Linked DNA regions of Saccharomyces cerevisiae S288C. The protein of the gene in region 2 interacts with the protein of the main gene of each other region in a pairwise test. Each region holds a gene or a part of one and is shown on either strand. Other genes may lie near its edges.

What was found.
Region 1: the proteins of FAR3 (region 2) and FAR11 interact in binary tests that used the Saccharomyces cerevisiae proteins (3 or more experiments, as listed by UniProt).
Region 3: the proteins of FAR3 (region 2) and FAR10 interact in a two-hybrid assay, tested with the Saccharomyces cerevisiae proteins (2 studies listed by BioGRID).
Region 4: the proteins of FAR3 (region 2) and FAR7 interact in binary tests that used the Saccharomyces cerevisiae proteins (3 or more experiments, as listed by UniProt).

Annotation. Positions count from the first base shown.
Region 1 is NC_001146.8:382,076-387,562, reverse strand, and holds FAR11 (Far11p), read right to left. Parts: upstream 3,577-5,487; coding exon 715-3,576; downstream 1-714. Other genes in the region: SPC98 (Spc98p), read right to left, coding at 1-336; TEP1 (putative phosphatidylinositol-3,4,5-trisphosphate 3-phosphatase), read right to left, coding at 3,900-5,204; NRK1 (ribosylnicotinamide kinase), read right to left, coding at 5,361-5,487. UniProt on the Saccharomyces cerevisiae protein: Participates in the control of the reentry into the cell cycle following pheromone treatment.
Region 2 is NC_001145.3:377,597-380,958, reverse strand, and holds FAR3 (Far3p), read right to left. Parts: upstream 1,374-3,362; coding exon 759-1,373; downstream 1-758. Other genes in the region: STB2 (Stb2p), read left to right, coding at 1-613; YMR051C (gag protein), read left to right, coding at 2,634-3,362. UniProt on the Saccharomyces cerevisiae protein: Participates in the control of the reentry into the cell cycle following pheromone treatment.
Region 3 is NC_001144.5:613,085-617,189, reverse strand, and holds FAR10 (Far10p), read right to left. Parts: upstream 2,436-4,105; coding exon 999-2,435; downstream 1-998. Other genes in the region: lipoyl(octanoyl) transferase LIP2, read left to right, coding at 1-858; thiamine transporter THI7, read right to left, coding at 3,027-4,105.
Region 4 is NC_001138.5:158,501-162,118, forward strand, and holds FAR7 (Far7p), read left to right. Parts: upstream 1-2,034; coding exon 2,035-2,700; downstream 2,701-3,618. Other genes in the region: YFH7 (Yfh7p), read left to right, coding at 799-1,860. UniProt on the Saccharomyces cerevisiae protein: Participates in the control of the reentry into the cell cycle following pheromone treatment.

The DNA.
Region 1 (5,487 bases), on a different chromosome or scaffold from region 2:
ATTGAGCCCAGATGATTTTTGGACAATTTTTGCTCTGTAATTTGATGGAAGCAAAGATTGAAAGACAGAGAGGTACTTTACCATATCATCGGTGTTCTGGATTCCAAATAAAGCATCGAGAAATTTCTCAATTTTATGCCACATAATTGTTGTTTCAGGCGAATCTAGTGATTGTAATTTGTAAAAATCAATTAAAGGGCCTAATTGAGTTGCCGATTTGGTGGATGATCGCAGTAAATTGACTACATCAGATACAAATGTCTGCAAATGACTCTGCGACAATAATTGAGGAGCCAATGCCTCTATTATACCAAAAAGAGTGGGCTCTAGTTCCATATTGATTTTTCAGCTACAACTGAAATAGACTGTAATATATATTATGGTTATGCTTAGTATTCTGGCTCTTCTATTTCTTATATGCAGATGAAGCCATCAAATGAGTATATTTGTTTGTTTTGTTTAGTTTTGTTTACAAACGCGACGCATCAAAAATCGTTACCCGTATATATTATGATAATAGAAATCCAACAACGGTTGTCCTAGTATCCCACTTGTGATATGAAGATCCAATCATCACCATTGCGCGATCAAATAAACACTATTTAAGGGGTTTTCATGCTCCTCCATTGAAAACTATATAAACATAGGGAGGGATAGGAGATTGTTAATGACAATAACATCGCGCCCCGAGCCTCGGTATCCGTAAGTAGAGATTTAAATATTCAAATACTCGGATTCCTTGTTTAACAGATCTTGGCTGGAACTATTACGGTGTCCATATCCAAGGTCCTCCATAGATATTTCATAGTGTTGAAAATTGTAAAATTGAAGCAAGGCCCGGAGTGCAATTTCTTGACCACAAGCATCGCTCAACTCTCCTGATATATCCTTCCCTGTTACCCAATTATCAGTTAACTCCAGCTTTTCATAAAGGTAAACCCCCGATATCAATTCCATATGCTCGGATTTCCACCTCTTGTTTTTGAATGGTGTGAGTTCTCTTGTTATTTTCAATATTGGATGATACATGTCAAGGTTGAAGAGCCGATAATAGCGTTTAAATAGAATGCCGATGGAGAGGGGCAGCTCCTTTAACCTTTGTGTTTTATTCCCTGTGACTTTTCTCAAGATTCTTAACAGATATGCAAACGAAGGCATAATCTCCGTGTCGACCTCTCCTGAGTCATCTACTGAATAGGATTCACGATAAGACTCGTTAGAGAGAGAACACTCCTTCCAAAATGAATTCGGGGTTTGTACATATTTATTGAAAACCCTCTCTGGATAAACCTCAGAATATTTGCTTAAAATAGATGCGCATGTGTTGATGTATCGCGAATCGTGAATAACTACCGCCAAGTGTTCAAATTTCAAAATATGGCTTAACTTAAACCACTTCAATAACGCATGTAATATGCCCGCTGCTGACTTTAGGGACAATTCCTTAGCTCTCACGATCTCCAATTGGGGTGTCAGCATATTTAGAAGATTTTTATCGGAGACTTCACTTTTCCTATGAAAGTTATTTGTCAAGCTTGATTCCATTGTTTGCAGTAAGACAAAAACAAGAGAGTTAAAGCTCGAAAGGCAGCTCTTATAATATTTGTCAATTCGCTGCATAATGCAAATCGCACTTTTTTCCTCTTTTGAAGAGTTTGCATCATGATTAAGCGCGGCATAATCATATGGCTCATTTTCTAATTGCTGTTTCCAACCACGTTCAGTTATCATGAATAAGTCCCTTTCGTACCAAAGTTGTTTTGTACTCAGCTTAATTTCTAAACTCTCGCTTAATATTCTCGCTGCCTCTTCGGTACTGAATGGAATAACTATATCGTTATCAGGTTTTCTCTCTATATTTAAATCTATCCTATCTTCCAGAGTGTCATCTTCAGATCCTTCATTATCAGATGGATACAAACACGGATATGCCATGTTTGTTTGGAAAGATTTACGAGGTCTAGGACCTTCACCTAAATGCATTAATTGTGGAGAGCTTGGCGGTGAAGGAGCAGGTGTAGCAATATGTTTTTCAGGAACAATGAGCGCCATATTTAGAGGATTCTTTGATTTTGGACGAGGAATTTCCAGAAACTGGGAAAGAGATTCTGATTTGTCAACATCTTTAGGTAAGCCAGAACTGGGCATATTGTAATCAGGAAAACGGGAAGTAATGTCCTCCCTGAATGCTTGATAATGTAATGGGGAGATAGAAAGCTTTTCTGGATGCTTTGATGGATATGTTAAGCCATGGAGATTATAAATAGATGATTTGGTCTGTTTGTAGACAGAACTGTCACCAAATTGTAATACAATAAGCTTGAAGAGCAAAGAAATCATATTTCTTATGCGCATAGCTAATCTGCTATTCCACCTCCAATTTTCAATATACTTTGTTAAAAATTCCAACAAATCTGTTTTCTCAAAAGCGTCGATAACAACATTTACTGCTTCCGGATTTTCTCCTCTACCTTCTATACAAATACTGCATATGAAGTATAGGATTGTTGACGAATGAAATAGCAAAATTGTTTGTTTCTTTAAATTTCTGTTGTCATCCCTACAACTTATTGCAATCTTCTTGAAGGCATGAACAATTTCTTGAATATGAGGAACAAGCATTAAATTGTTGCGTCGTATAATCTTTGTATGCTCACTTTTGCTATTCGTAAACGCAAAGCATCCCATAGAAATATATGATAATGCGAGTAAATTAGATGCTAAAGAATTGGGGATGTCTTCAATTAAACATTCAACTACGCTCGCAGCATAGTTTTCATCATCAAAGAATAATTGTGGTTGCGTAATTTTCTGTTTAAACAGAGTCTGTGTCTGTCCAAAATGCATATAATCAGAGCTGCAAAACCATTCCGACAGTTCATCTTCCAAAGAATAAAACATCTTCAATTCCCAGTCCACTGCTCTTTGTAAAGCATAAGGTGCACTTGATCTTTCCTCAAGTGAAGCTGCGCACTGGTCAAGTGATTTCTGAAATTCTTTATCTACCGGCATATTATAATCAACTTCGCCCTTTTCATTGATAGGAACATGCTTGCCATCAGAAACCTTATTCAAATCAAAGCCATCCAGTTCATCTACATTAGCAAATGATTCATCCTCATTCTCCTCTTCAGCTTCTTCAGCATCGTCTTGAAATTCAACGGCGTTATCAGTATTATTATCTTTCTCATTATTTCTATCCTTATTAACGCCATCATCACTGAACTTAAAATTATCATTTTCATCACTACTATCTTGCTGTATATCTATGGTACGAATATCTCCCTCAAGACCTGATCTTGCCTTGAAGGTTAAGGCACTGATATTTCCATCTGATTTATTTCTTTTATCGGCATGAAAACTGTTTCTTCCCATGTTCAGTTTACCGCGCAACATGTTGTCCAAATCTTTTAGCAGTTCTTCGTTGCTCAATGTTCCGACCTGTGGTTCTTTATGTGAAGTGACTTCATCTTTGTACTTTAGATTGCCTTTGAAACTAGAGTTTCTCTTAAGATCTTCTAAAGACACAGACCTTATAATGGGGCCTTTGGAATGAGATCTTCCACTAGCATTCATTTTAGCGAGGCTTATAAATGAAAATTTGTCACTTAACCTTCTTCTTCGGCTATAAATACTAATAAAATTTCTCTACAATGCCTTTCAACCTACTCCTTGGTTCTCATATATTTCTTCCTGTTTCTAGAATGGCGTTTTGATTCATATAATTGACCGCTCCAAAAAATACCTGCCAGTAAATTAAAGTACCATACAAGAATATTGAAGAAAAGGAAAAGAATACATAATATAGAAAAAAGCCTACCAAAACAAACCAATTCACAATAAATATAACACTTTTAACTAAGTTTAACGAATGAATGGATTTGACGAAATGCATAAACCTATATAATTTCCCATTCCAATTTCAGTGCCTGAAATAATTTCAAGCCGTGAGTGCTGAGCTCCCCAAAACCGTCCAGCTCTTGCCAGCTTATGGTTGTCCCAAGCATTTCGTCTCTCTTTAACCTCTCTACTTGAAAGTAATCTGGCGAAGAATCGTCTTTAATTATGTGCATCAAAGTCTCAAGGTATATATTCAGCCAACAGCTGGCGCATGAAGTCCAAGATATTATGCTACTGGCGGCTTTGGACTTGCTGGTCCCCAGGGTAAATTCTATACGACAATCATTTTCCAGTGTTAAGTAGTCCCTACCAAAAATGAAGGTCATATTACCACCGCATTCATGCGCCATGATATCTGAATATACTACTTTTCGGGTTAGGAGGGCATTTCTATCATCGTTGTAGTGTTGAATCTTAGTAGTTACAATAGCAGACTCGGAAGTGATTAAGCTTGATGGGCGGAGGAACGTCATTTTAGCAAGCCTGAATTTAAATTTGAATTTTACCGCCTCATTAGAAATTCCTTCTTGGGCTGCTTTTTCATGGGTAATAAAAAACTCATGGTACCTTAAGTATCTTAATTGAGAGGGTATGGTGACGCCATTCGTCATACCATACTTGAATCTAGCCTGCATGAATATCAATCTTGCTTCTCCAAGAGGACACTGCAAGTATTTCATGAGGTATGCTACTGTTATCATACCAGATCGGCCTTTCCCCATTCGACAATGTAAAACAGCCACTCTATTCTTCGAAACGGACAGGTAATTTTCTATACCATCTACAATCTCTTCCAGCAGTTCAAATGGCGGTGGAAAATGATCTAGCCAACCGATCCTTTCACAAATTACATTATTGGTTTCTTCTTCGACCAAGGTCCTTGTTTCGAGATCAATGGGTGATATTGGTATCTTTCCATCATTAATCAGCGTCGAACGTAATTCTTGAATTTCAAAATCTTTGCTCTCAAACTTGGCAGCGATACCAATAAGATCATTATCTTTATAATCGCTGTCTTCTTTCTCACCTCTAAAATTAAAAATTCTAAAATTTCCCTTGCCATGGTACACTGTTAGAAACAATATTAAGTCATCCAAGCTATTCCTATAAAGCAGTTTTGGATACGTGTTTACCGGGTATGAGCAGACTATTAGATTAACTAAAATATATGATATATCTAATCTCAAACCTATATCGTTTTTAGTTTTTTTCATTGGTAAAGACAATATTTTCTTCATCAAGTTGACTGGTTTCCATTTAAGGAAGCCTTTTTCCATTTCTAATTCACTCCCCTCCTCTCTCATTTACACCAAAAAAATAATTTCAAAAATCGGGATGGTGTTATCAATATTGTGGTTCTGAAATTGTCTTATTTAAGTTATCTATCGAGGTACACATTCTTATTTTTATTGTTTTTACTTTTTTTTTTTTATACTTCTCATCGATTTTGTGGCGCTTTCCTAATCCTTACAAAGCTTTAGAATCTCTTGGCACACCCAGCTTAAAGGTTTCGCAATTGGAGTGTCATCATCATTTATGAACTCTTTTATATTCTTTGACTTCCTTGGGTCTAGTAAACCTTCTACG
Region 2 (3,362 bases):
AGCTAGAGATTTGTTACGAATGAAATACGACATCCAAGCGCAGCAACACATACAAGAAATGGATGAGCATTATATGGGTAAATTAAATAAGGAGGGAACTGTTGGTCAGTACTCTAAATTCAACGAAAGATATAAAAGACTGCAAGAACTATATAAGAAGTATTCAGATGGTGCAAAAGTGTTTGAAGGGAGATTTGAAGACATTGACAATAAGCAACAACTTCTTCTCCATGAGATGCAAGAGTTAAATTCCTTATCATCTAGGTTGAAATATGATATGAGGATATTGGAAGTTCGTGTACGAGATATTGAAAGTAGTGTTGCTCAGTTTGATTCCAAATTAATTGGGTTGAAAAGCTCTCTTCAGGGACAGGGTAAAACTGGAATATGCTCTGCAATAGATCCCAAGAGTGATAAAGACGAATATGATAGATGCGTAAATGATTTGATGACCACTAACAACCCCACCTATGAAGCTCTTTGTTTAAAGATGCTGAGCCGCCGTTATTTTAAAGATTTAAAGAATGATACTGTGGGGTGGTTCAGGTGGTTATTTGGTAATAATTCTTTACACAATAATGCCAGTGAAGACGATAGAGGAATACGAGTATGATTTTTTTCGGTTCATCCTAATTTTTTTTTTTTTTCAAAAGGGATCTAAACATTTATCCGTTGTTATAAGTATATTAAAATATATAAATGCATTCAAAGGTTTGCTATTTCACGTCTGCTTACACTTTTGTTCGATCCATCGTAGGCTATTTCAGTACCTGGTACGTGTCTTGCAGGTATTCCAACTGTTTTTTAAAGCGGCTGTAATCTCTGGAATCTTTAGATATACGATCCCAATCCACTTCCTTCAAAAGTTTTTCAAACTGTTTGATAATTGAATGCAATTTTTTTTTTGTTTCTTCATTTTCTGTCTTCAATGACTCGTAATTTTGTTGAAGACTTTTGTTCCTTTCATCAAGCTTCTCTGATGAAAATGTGGCAATATTTCGTTCTCTTATTGCATTCTGTTCGTCGATAAAATTTTTAATATATGAGAAATGCTCATTTATGTTGTTAATTAGCGCAACAGCCTTTGTATTGAAGTACTCTTGTTTTTCAATCTCGTATATGAGTTTAAAATTTTCGCTGATAAGCTTCTGTGCCTCAGTGGGGGGAGATGCTTTTTGAGATGCATTATCTTTCCATGAATCTGGAATTATGTTTTTGCTCAAATTATCATAAGATATTCCTGACTGTTTGGCAAGGCGCTTTAACAATAGTTCTATTCGATCGGTCTCTTGTCTGTTAGCCCGACACTCTGCACTTAAAGCTTTTGTTAATTGAAGAAGATAATCGAAACTATCACTACCACCGCTATTCATATTTGCAAATCACTATATATACTGCTCTGTGCGAACTTATGATGGAAAAAACGAGCAAGAAGTAATAAATCACGGTTTAACTTTCTTCATTAATCGCCGAATGCTAGCCGGAGCTTTGAATGAACCTTTTATTGTGGTTATATTGTTATACAGGTGTCAATATAAACAATAAAAGTTGAAGCGGTGGCTCAATGGTAGAGCTTTCGACTCCAATTAAATCTTGGAAATTCCACGGAATAAGATTGCAATCGAAGGGTTGCAGGTTCAATTCCTGTCCGTTTCAATTTATTTTTTAGCCCTGTGCTTGAGATTATCGTCGACAATGACCAGCTATAAGCTGGCAAGATTGATGCTCTAAAACGCGGGGAATAAAATAATCAAGATGATTAATTGTTGGGATTCCATTGTTGTTAGAGCCTACAATATTAGGTACACAGAATATACTAGAACTTCTTCTCGAGGATGTAGGAATCGTCAAAAGGGAATCGATAGTTTTACGTAACGATATTACTTTATGTTCTTTCTGTTGGAATGAAGCTATAAAATATCATCTGTTCAGTAGTATTCATGCCACTCGTACATTATCATATACAGTGTAAGAAGATGATCTAAACATTGAGAAACAGTCGTAAAATTTAATGGAAGCAGAAATATAAGGATTGATAATGTACTAGGATAATGAAACATACGAAAGGGAGGGAGAAATAATTGTAATTGTATTATATAGGAGTATCGATTCCAATTTGAGGATTGGTATATCTCTCAGGGGAAATTTTATTATATTCTGTACACATAATAAAATAAAGCCCTTGCGAACAATAGAATCCCAACGGTTATCAAATTATTCACAAATTGATCACTTCCTTTTTATACTTTCCCTCTCGCTTCTTATTACATTATCAATCATTGCATTTCAGCTTCCCCTAAATCTGGTGACTGTTTCTCAATCTTTAGATCACCTTCTGTTGGAATAAAAATCCACTATCGTCTATCAACTAATAGTTATATTATCAATATATTATCATATACGGTGTTAAGATGATGACATAAGTTATGAGAAGCTGTCATCGATGTTAGAGGAAGCTGAAACGCAAGGATTGATAATGTAATAGGATCAATGAATATAAACATATAAAACGGAATGAGGAATAATCGTAATATTAGTATGTAGAAATATAGATTCCATTTTGAGGATTCCTATATCCTCGAGGAGAACTTCTAGTATATTCTGTATACCTAATATTATAGCCTTTATCAACAATGGAATCCCAACAATTATCTAATTACCCACATATATCTCATGGTAGCGCCTGTGCTTCGGTTACTTCTAAGGAAGTCCACACAAATCAAGATCCGTTAGACGTTTCAGCTTCCAAAATTCAAGAATATGATAAGGCTTCCACTAAGGCTAACTCTCAACAGACAACAACACCTGCTTCATCAGCTGTTCCAGAGAACCCCCATCATGCCTCTCCTCAACCTGCTTCAGTACCACCTCCACAGAATGGGCCGTACCCACAGCAGTGCATGATGACCCAAAACCAAGCCAATCCATCTGGTTGGTCATTTTACGGACACCCATCTATGATTCCGTATACACCTTATCAAATGTCGCCTATGTACTTTCCACCTGGGCCACAATCACAGTTTCCGCAGTATCCATCATCAGTTGGAACGCCTCTGAGCACTCCATCACCTGAGTCAGGTAATACATTTACTGATTCATCCTCAGCGGACTCTGATATGACATCCACTAAAAAATATGTCAGACCACCACCAATGTTAACCTCACCTAATGATTTTCCAAATTGGGTTAAAACATACATCAAATTTTTACAAAACTCGAATCTCGGTGGTATTATTCCGACAGTAAACGGAAAACCCGTACGTCAGATCACTGATGATGAACTCACCTTCTTGTATAACACTTTTCAAATATTTGCTCCCTCTCAATTCCTACCTACCTGGGTCAAAGACATCCTATCCGTT
Region 3 (4,105 bases), on a different chromosome or scaffold from region 2:
CATCTACAATTCACTCAAAGAATACCTTTTCAAAAAGGATTGGAAATACAGGAGACATTAGTTAGGGCAAATTTGGACATCAAAGACATTCAATCGAAGATTGAGAGAAAATTAATACAATTGGATGAAGAATATAAGGGCACTGCAACAATAAATGATAACGAAAAAAGAATATTAGACAAGGTTATGGCAATGAAACCTAATCCGATAATATTAACGTTTGAGTTTGAGCCAACTTATACAGGTGGGAAGAGGATTAAGAAAACTATGACGCCAGATCAGATAGCGGCTTATGAAAGTTTCATTCCAGAAACGCAAAAGGACAACCCACGACCAAAGTTTGTTCAAGTGGAAAGGGGTGGACAAGTAACATTTCATGGTCCAGGCCAAATTGTTATTTACATTATTTTAGATTTGAAAACATTTCAAAGTTTCCCTGCTAAATGCTTGGTTTCATGCATTGAGCAGGCCACTATCAGAACGTTGAAGAATACCAAGATGTGCGACGACACTGACAAGCCTTTGAACTTAGATGCTATGACTACAAAGGACACTGGAGTTTGGGTTGAAAATGGCAAGAAGAAAGTTGCTAGTGTTGGAATACACGTCAGACGTTCCATAACATCGCACGGGGTAGCAATTAATGTTAATACAGATCTATCGTATATGAATAGTTTTGAAATGTGCGGTTTGAAAAATACACTGACTACTTCAATTATGGAACAACGACCCGATGCTGTTGTAAATGTGCAAAGTGTAGCAATTAGTTTTGTCAAAGAAATGACAAAGCTGCTAGGAATAAAAACTTTGGAAAGAATGCAAATTGACGACGTCAATATTTTGAAAAAGAATCCGTGAGACGGATGACTCCCCCCATACTTTCTTAAATGAAAGGATGCTTACCTTTTTTTACATGTGAATATCTATTACATATATACGTACGTATATAATAATCTCTGACGTGAAAAGCGGATCGTGTGTGTCTTGTATTTACGATGCTAGTTGGGGGAAAGGATCTTGAAGACAATAGCTATAATCCCGATGGAAATAGTTCCAAATGTTAATAGTGTGAAATGATTACATAGCGTGTTCTTGATGCTAAATTTGTCAGTACCCTTAGGATTCATGCCCGGGACGCCTCTAGTGTCATGTTCGGTAGTCTTTTTTTTAGATGCAGTTGAGAGTTCTTGTTCTTTCTGTTTGTTCTTCTTCATCATTTGTGAATTCTTATATCGTTCCACTTCTAACCTAGTTTTCAAGTCTTCTATTTCCCTTTCCATGCTTTTTTGCTTTTCATTATTTCTTCTTTTCTTCACTTCAAATGACTTTTTGAAAAACATATGGTCCCTTTCCAACTGTTTTACTTGATTTCTGTTTTGTTCGATAATCTTTTCGTATTTCCCCGACAGTTTCCTTCTTAATCCATTTTGCAGCTTTACCAGTTGCTGATCATTTTTTTCCACTAAAAGTTTGTTCGTGTATTCTAGATGTGTCGTATAATTAATTAAGAAATTCTCCATCGACTGTAATTTAAAATTATCGCATTTGGAAAATGGAATTTCCATTGCCAGGGTTTTGATGATATTAGATAAAGTCGGGCTCGTACCAATACAATTATTAATAAAAATTCCACTCAGTATTTCTGTATCAGAGCCCAGGATAACTTCTTCCAATTCTAGGTTGTTGGAATCACCATATATGTGACTTGTTATGGCAGCAGCCTCCTCTTTTTCTGTAATTGTATGGCAATCATCACTATCTTCATTTTCAAAAATCGGTGATTCTAATAAAGGTTGTACAAATAGTTCTTCAACTGTGGCACTTATTTTTCGATGCTCAATTTTCGTATCTATATCTGTTCCCAAGTCTATCACATCGCCAACTTTGATTTCTACGTCATTTGAGCCAATTCTTTGACCGTTAATGAACGTACCATTACTGGATTTTAAGTCTCGTATATATACCTTACCCGTGAGCGGGTCGCAACTTAACAATGCATGATTCCTGGAGAGTACTCTTGAATCGAAATTACCATTATCGGACCTTACTTGGGAAAAAGTGTGTGAATCCACTCTTTTACCGCCCCTGAGCGATGAACTGGAGCTGCTATTACTATTAGCAACAGGCCTTCCCAATTTCAAACCATCTGGTTTAAATGGTATCACCACATGTTTGCTCTCAAAAGTTCCATTTAGTGATGTGAGGACTAGAATGTAAGTATATTTTCTCCTTGGTGTTCTTGATATGCTATGTGGAAAATAGCTTTTTGTTGGGTCGGCTATTCTCTTGTCATACTTTTCAATTGGCCTCTTCGATGAATTCGTAGATCCATCAATTAGATTTGCATTCTTGGGTATACTATTATATGTTATCTGTTTCTTGCCCGGAGAACTGGGGTGCTCCTCCTTATTTATTTCAGGTCCAGGACCAGTCATTGGATTCGATTATATCTATAGCTTCCAATATAACCAACGACAGGCTCCTTGTGAGGGTTACTTTGTCACTCTTGCCTTAATTTTGTGTTCACGTAGTGCTTGTGACTTTCAAGAACAAATTTTTAATTATGTTCCGTTATGGTAAACAAGTGAAATTTCAAAAGTTGAGCACCACGATTACGGAATAACAACAAATAACGAAGGTTGAAGAAATTAGATAATAGATGAGAAAAAAAGAACACCAGAGAGAGAACAGGTGCTTTCTAAAAGATTTCAATTCAGGGCGAATAATAGTAGTCCTTACCCCTTAATATATTGGAATATAATAGGACTAGTTAGACGCTGGCAATAAGATTGGTTTATTGTTCTTTTTTTTACGACTGTAACAAAGCTACGTTATTTTTTGTTTTTCTTTTTTTTTAATTTATTTGGTATTATATATCTAGTGTATATGTTATTATTAGGAAAGAGCTGTTATTTAATATTAAGTGTGAACGAAGGAAAATTTCGTAGGTAAAAAAATTAGTGCAGAGAGCCATTAAATGAAAGGGAAATTTTATTCTTAATTATTTTTTGCAATTTTATTTCCCACTAAGCAGCTTTTTCACTGGCGGTGGAGGATTGCTTTTCATTATTCTTATGATGAACTATTTCAAACTCATTGGTGTTTTCAGAGCTAGTTTTGACCAACTCAGGTATTTCATCGTCGGAGCCTTCAGGTCTGTACTCGTGGCCGGTAGTGTAACCTTCGCCTAATGTGTAAGCGCGGATTTCTTCTTCAGAAATTTCACTGTATGGAACCATGCCCTTCTTTCTTGCTTCTTCGTCAGTAAAGGCACCATAATAATCTTTGTCATCATGTTTGACAGTAATTTTGAATGGGAAGAGGAGGCATAGTCCCCAATAGACGAAAAAGGAGATCAAAAACGAGAAGAAGGAGTCACCGTAAAAGAAATTGACAATACCAGTGTTGTGGAAATAGTCATTATTGACTTCCCAAGCAATACCAGGTAGACCGGGGGTCATACCACAAACCCAGGCAACAATAGCTCTCCAGTTAACACCCTTAGTGAAATAGTATTCACCCTTGAGAATAAAGGCATTAGTGATGGAGTATTGTCTTTTTCTGATCAAGAAGTTATCGCAAATCATGACAGAAATGATAGGAGTCATGACAACACCGAAAGAACTCATGACAGTCAAGAAAGTAGAAGAAGAGTTGTAGAAGTTCCATGGCAAACAAGCCCAGGAGACACATGCGGCAAAAAGGGCACCCCTCTTGATGTCGACATACTTGGGTAATAAACCGGCCAAATCCATACCACTGGCAAACCCACAGTTGGAGATGGTGTAGGACATTTGAGATAGGACAAATGAAAGACCACAGAAGAACGCACCGGCACGAGCACCTGCAGAATAGTTAGTTGTCAACCAATGGTTGAAGATATCCATAGGCATCCAATATTGTTCACCGTATAGTTTGTCACAGGTGGAGGCACCAATAACACCAAAAACTGGGATTAAAGTGGTTGGAATTAACAATGCACAGATGGTACCGGCCCAGATAGCCCAATTGGAGGAACCAAATCTCGAGTAATCACTTTGGTTGGTGGAACCTGGAGAAACGGAACCGAACCAGTACGAGATCATATAAACCCAAGCCCAAGCTT
Region 4 (3,618 bases), on a different chromosome or scaffold from region 2:
TGTAATAGCATAATGAAACATATAAAACGGAATGGGGAATAATCGTAATATTATTATGTAGAACTACCGATTCCATTTTGAGGATTCCTACATCCTCGAGGAGACTTCTAGCATATTCTGTGTACATAATATTATGGTCTTGATCAACAATGCAATCCCAACAGTTATCAAATTATTCAGAAAATTGATCACATTTTCGATAAATCTATTATGAAAGTAAAATTTTGACTCATACCTAAGTTCTCGTTATTCGTTAATCTTATGAACTCATTAACCTTGGCGTTTCAGCATCCGCTATGATTACTAGTGCTTAAACCTTGTTATTCATGCCTCATAATTGATGCCATCTTCTAACCTCGAGCGTGATAAAATTTTTGTAATATGAACACCAATCGGCGGAAGATCATCCCAAAGCCACATATGATGGTGCCTTATAACATTAATAACAACTTCAACTGCTGCATACCGATAATATCTTGACGATTATGCATTCGTGTCCTGATAGCTAATGCCATGAAACAATTCTTTTCAATCGCACTTGCACCTTCGTGAAATAGAAGGGTTATCTGGGCTTATCAGACTTGTCCACAGTTTACATATAATTTTTTTTCTGTATTAAATTTTGTGAGCTTTCTTTTTACTCAAACGAACTGTGTTATTTTTCGTTCATTAAATGCGTACCTTTAAGCATCATCAAGTATTGCTCTTCGGGAAAAATGAAGTAACCTTGTTAGGTTAATTTCACTAGTACTATACATATTTTATCCTGTATCATACCAGAGGATCATTCTAGCCACAATGGTCGATACGCATAAACTAGCAGACGACGTTCTTCAGCTATTGGATAACCGTATCGAAGATAATTATAGGGTTTGTGTTATCCTAGTCGGTTCTCCAGGCTCCGGTAAGTCTACTATTGCGGAAGAACTTTGTCAAATTATAAATGAAAAATATCACACATTTTTGTCAGAGCATCCAAATGTTATTGAGGTTAATGATAGGTTGAAACCTATGGTTAACCTAGTAGACTCTTTAAAGACGCTCCAGCCCAATAAAGTAGCTGAAATGATTGAAAATCAGGGGCTGTTTAAAGATCATGTTGAGGATGTTAATTTTCAACCAGTCAAGTACTCAGCCCTTACATCAAATAATGAAGAATGTACCGCAGTAGTTGCCAGAGGTGGTACTGCGAATGCCATAAGAATCGCAGCAGTTGATAATCCAGTCAATGTTAACAAGTTGGCCCAGGATAGTATCAATATAGCGCAAATAGTCCCAATGGATGGTTTTCACTTATCTCGCAGATGTCTAGACCTATTCAAAGACCCACAAACTGCCCATAAAAGAAGAGGTTCGCCCTCAACGTTTGACAGTAACAATTTCTTACAATTGTGTAAAATTCTAGCCAAGACGTCCCTATGTAAGGTCTCCTCACATCATAAATTTTACTCCACTTCAAGCGTTTTTGAGAAGTTATCCAAAACTTTTAGCCAAACAATTCCTGATATCTTTGTTCCAGGATTTAACCATGCACTAAAAGACCCAACTCCAGATCAGTACTGTATTTCCAAATTTACAAGGATAGTTATACTTGAAGGGTTATACCTACTGTATGACCAAGAAAACTGGAAGAAAATTTACAAAACATTAGCTGATACGGGAGCACTTCTTGTTTATAAGATTGACATAGACTATGAGGCCACCGAAGAAAGGGTGGCCAAAAGGCATTTGCAATCAGGGTTAGTCACGACTATTGCAGAAGGACGAGAGAAGTTTCGCAGCAATGATTTGTTGAATGGCAGGGATATAGATAATCATTTAATTAAGGTAGATAATATCGTCCATATCCGCAACGACTAGAAGGTTAGGCGGAACCTTGTATATATTTTTGTAAAATCGAACTGAATACAGATAATTAAGGCGCGCAAGCAAAAACGGCATTCTTTATGAACTCTGCAGAGGTGCCCTTTATTACGACATATATGGGAAGTAATACATATTGATTCTACAAGAAGTTCAAGCCAAGGTTTAGATATGAGTGACCAAATCAACGTTTTGTCAATGCAACAACAACAACAGCAGCAGCAGCAGCAGCAGCAAGTATATATGTCTCCTCAAGCAGAAAACTTGAATCATATGTACTTGTTAGTTAACAAGCTAGTGAAACAGTTGAGGGAAAATCAAGCAGAAAAGGCGAAAATACTAAGGAACATAGACATATTATCCGGAAGCTTAAACAAGTATGAGACATCTGAAGAACCTCACGATACCACGGAAAATATTGCATTATTTAATAGATTTCTAGAACAAAGAGGGAAAGCTCCTATTACTGAGAAAGAGCAACTAAGCAACAATCTGGATGAAAATGCGAAAGATGACGTTATGCTAGGAGTGTTGAAGCGCCAAAATTCAATGCTCCGGAAAAGTTTACAGGAATCCAAGCAGGTAACCCTTGAATCCATGGATTTATTGTCTTACTCCGAAGACTCTTTAAATTACATTGTCGCCCAATTAAGAGGAAACATTCTAATGCATCATAAAGAGACTATCAAATTGATTAGGCAGAAATTCCAGACGGAGACAATTCCCCTCGAAGATGAAGAGTTCAAGATGTATTTGGAAAATGTTAATGGTCTGCAAAAATTGACAGATATATCTCACACTTATAGATTACTACTGAGGTTACATGCACAAGATTGAAACTTTGCCCTTTTGCTTCCAATGAAAGCAAGATGACAAATATACATGCTTCTTATATTCGAGATTGCGCAAAAATTCGAAGCTCATTTATGAAGGCTTTTTCCATTCTGATATATGTTTATGAAATTGAAAAAGTAACGACGGTGGAACATTTTGCGGGAAAACAACTCACAGAATGTCTTGACGTTCTTTTCCTGCAGTTGCGTGCGTAAGATATCCTAAGCTACTGTATTATTTGCCAAAAATAATAAAATGTTGGAGGAAAGCCTCTATAAATACACAGGATATATATGTTTAATAAACATATATAATTTCCTCAATATTTGCAAAAGCATTTTGTTGTGATGAGAGTCGATTATCGTTTACCGATTAGTATCTATACTATTAATATATTTTCATATAATTAGTATAATCTCATATACGCTGCCAGAAGATAACATGAAAATTAAGAAACAATCATCAGCTTCAATGGAAGTTGAAGTGCAAGGATAAATAATACTATTTAGAAATATGGATTTTCCCTCGTTGACTAGAAGATCTGTGAAGATTGGGTGAATAGTTTAATAATTATTGGATCCCATTATTGATCAAGGCTATAATACTTGACTATTTGGCGAATTTTGAGATAATTGTTGGGATTCCATTGTTGATAAAGGCCATAATATTATGTATACAGGATATACTAGAAGTTCTCCTCGATGATATAGGAATCCTCGAAATGGAATCTATATTTCTACATACTAATATTACGATTATTCCTCATTCCGTTTTATATGTTTCATTATCCTATTGCATTATCAATCCTTGCACTTCAGCTTCCTCTAACTTCGATGACAGCTTCTCATAACTTATGTCATCATCTTTACACCGTATATGATAATATATTGATAATATAACTATTAGTTGATAGACGATAGT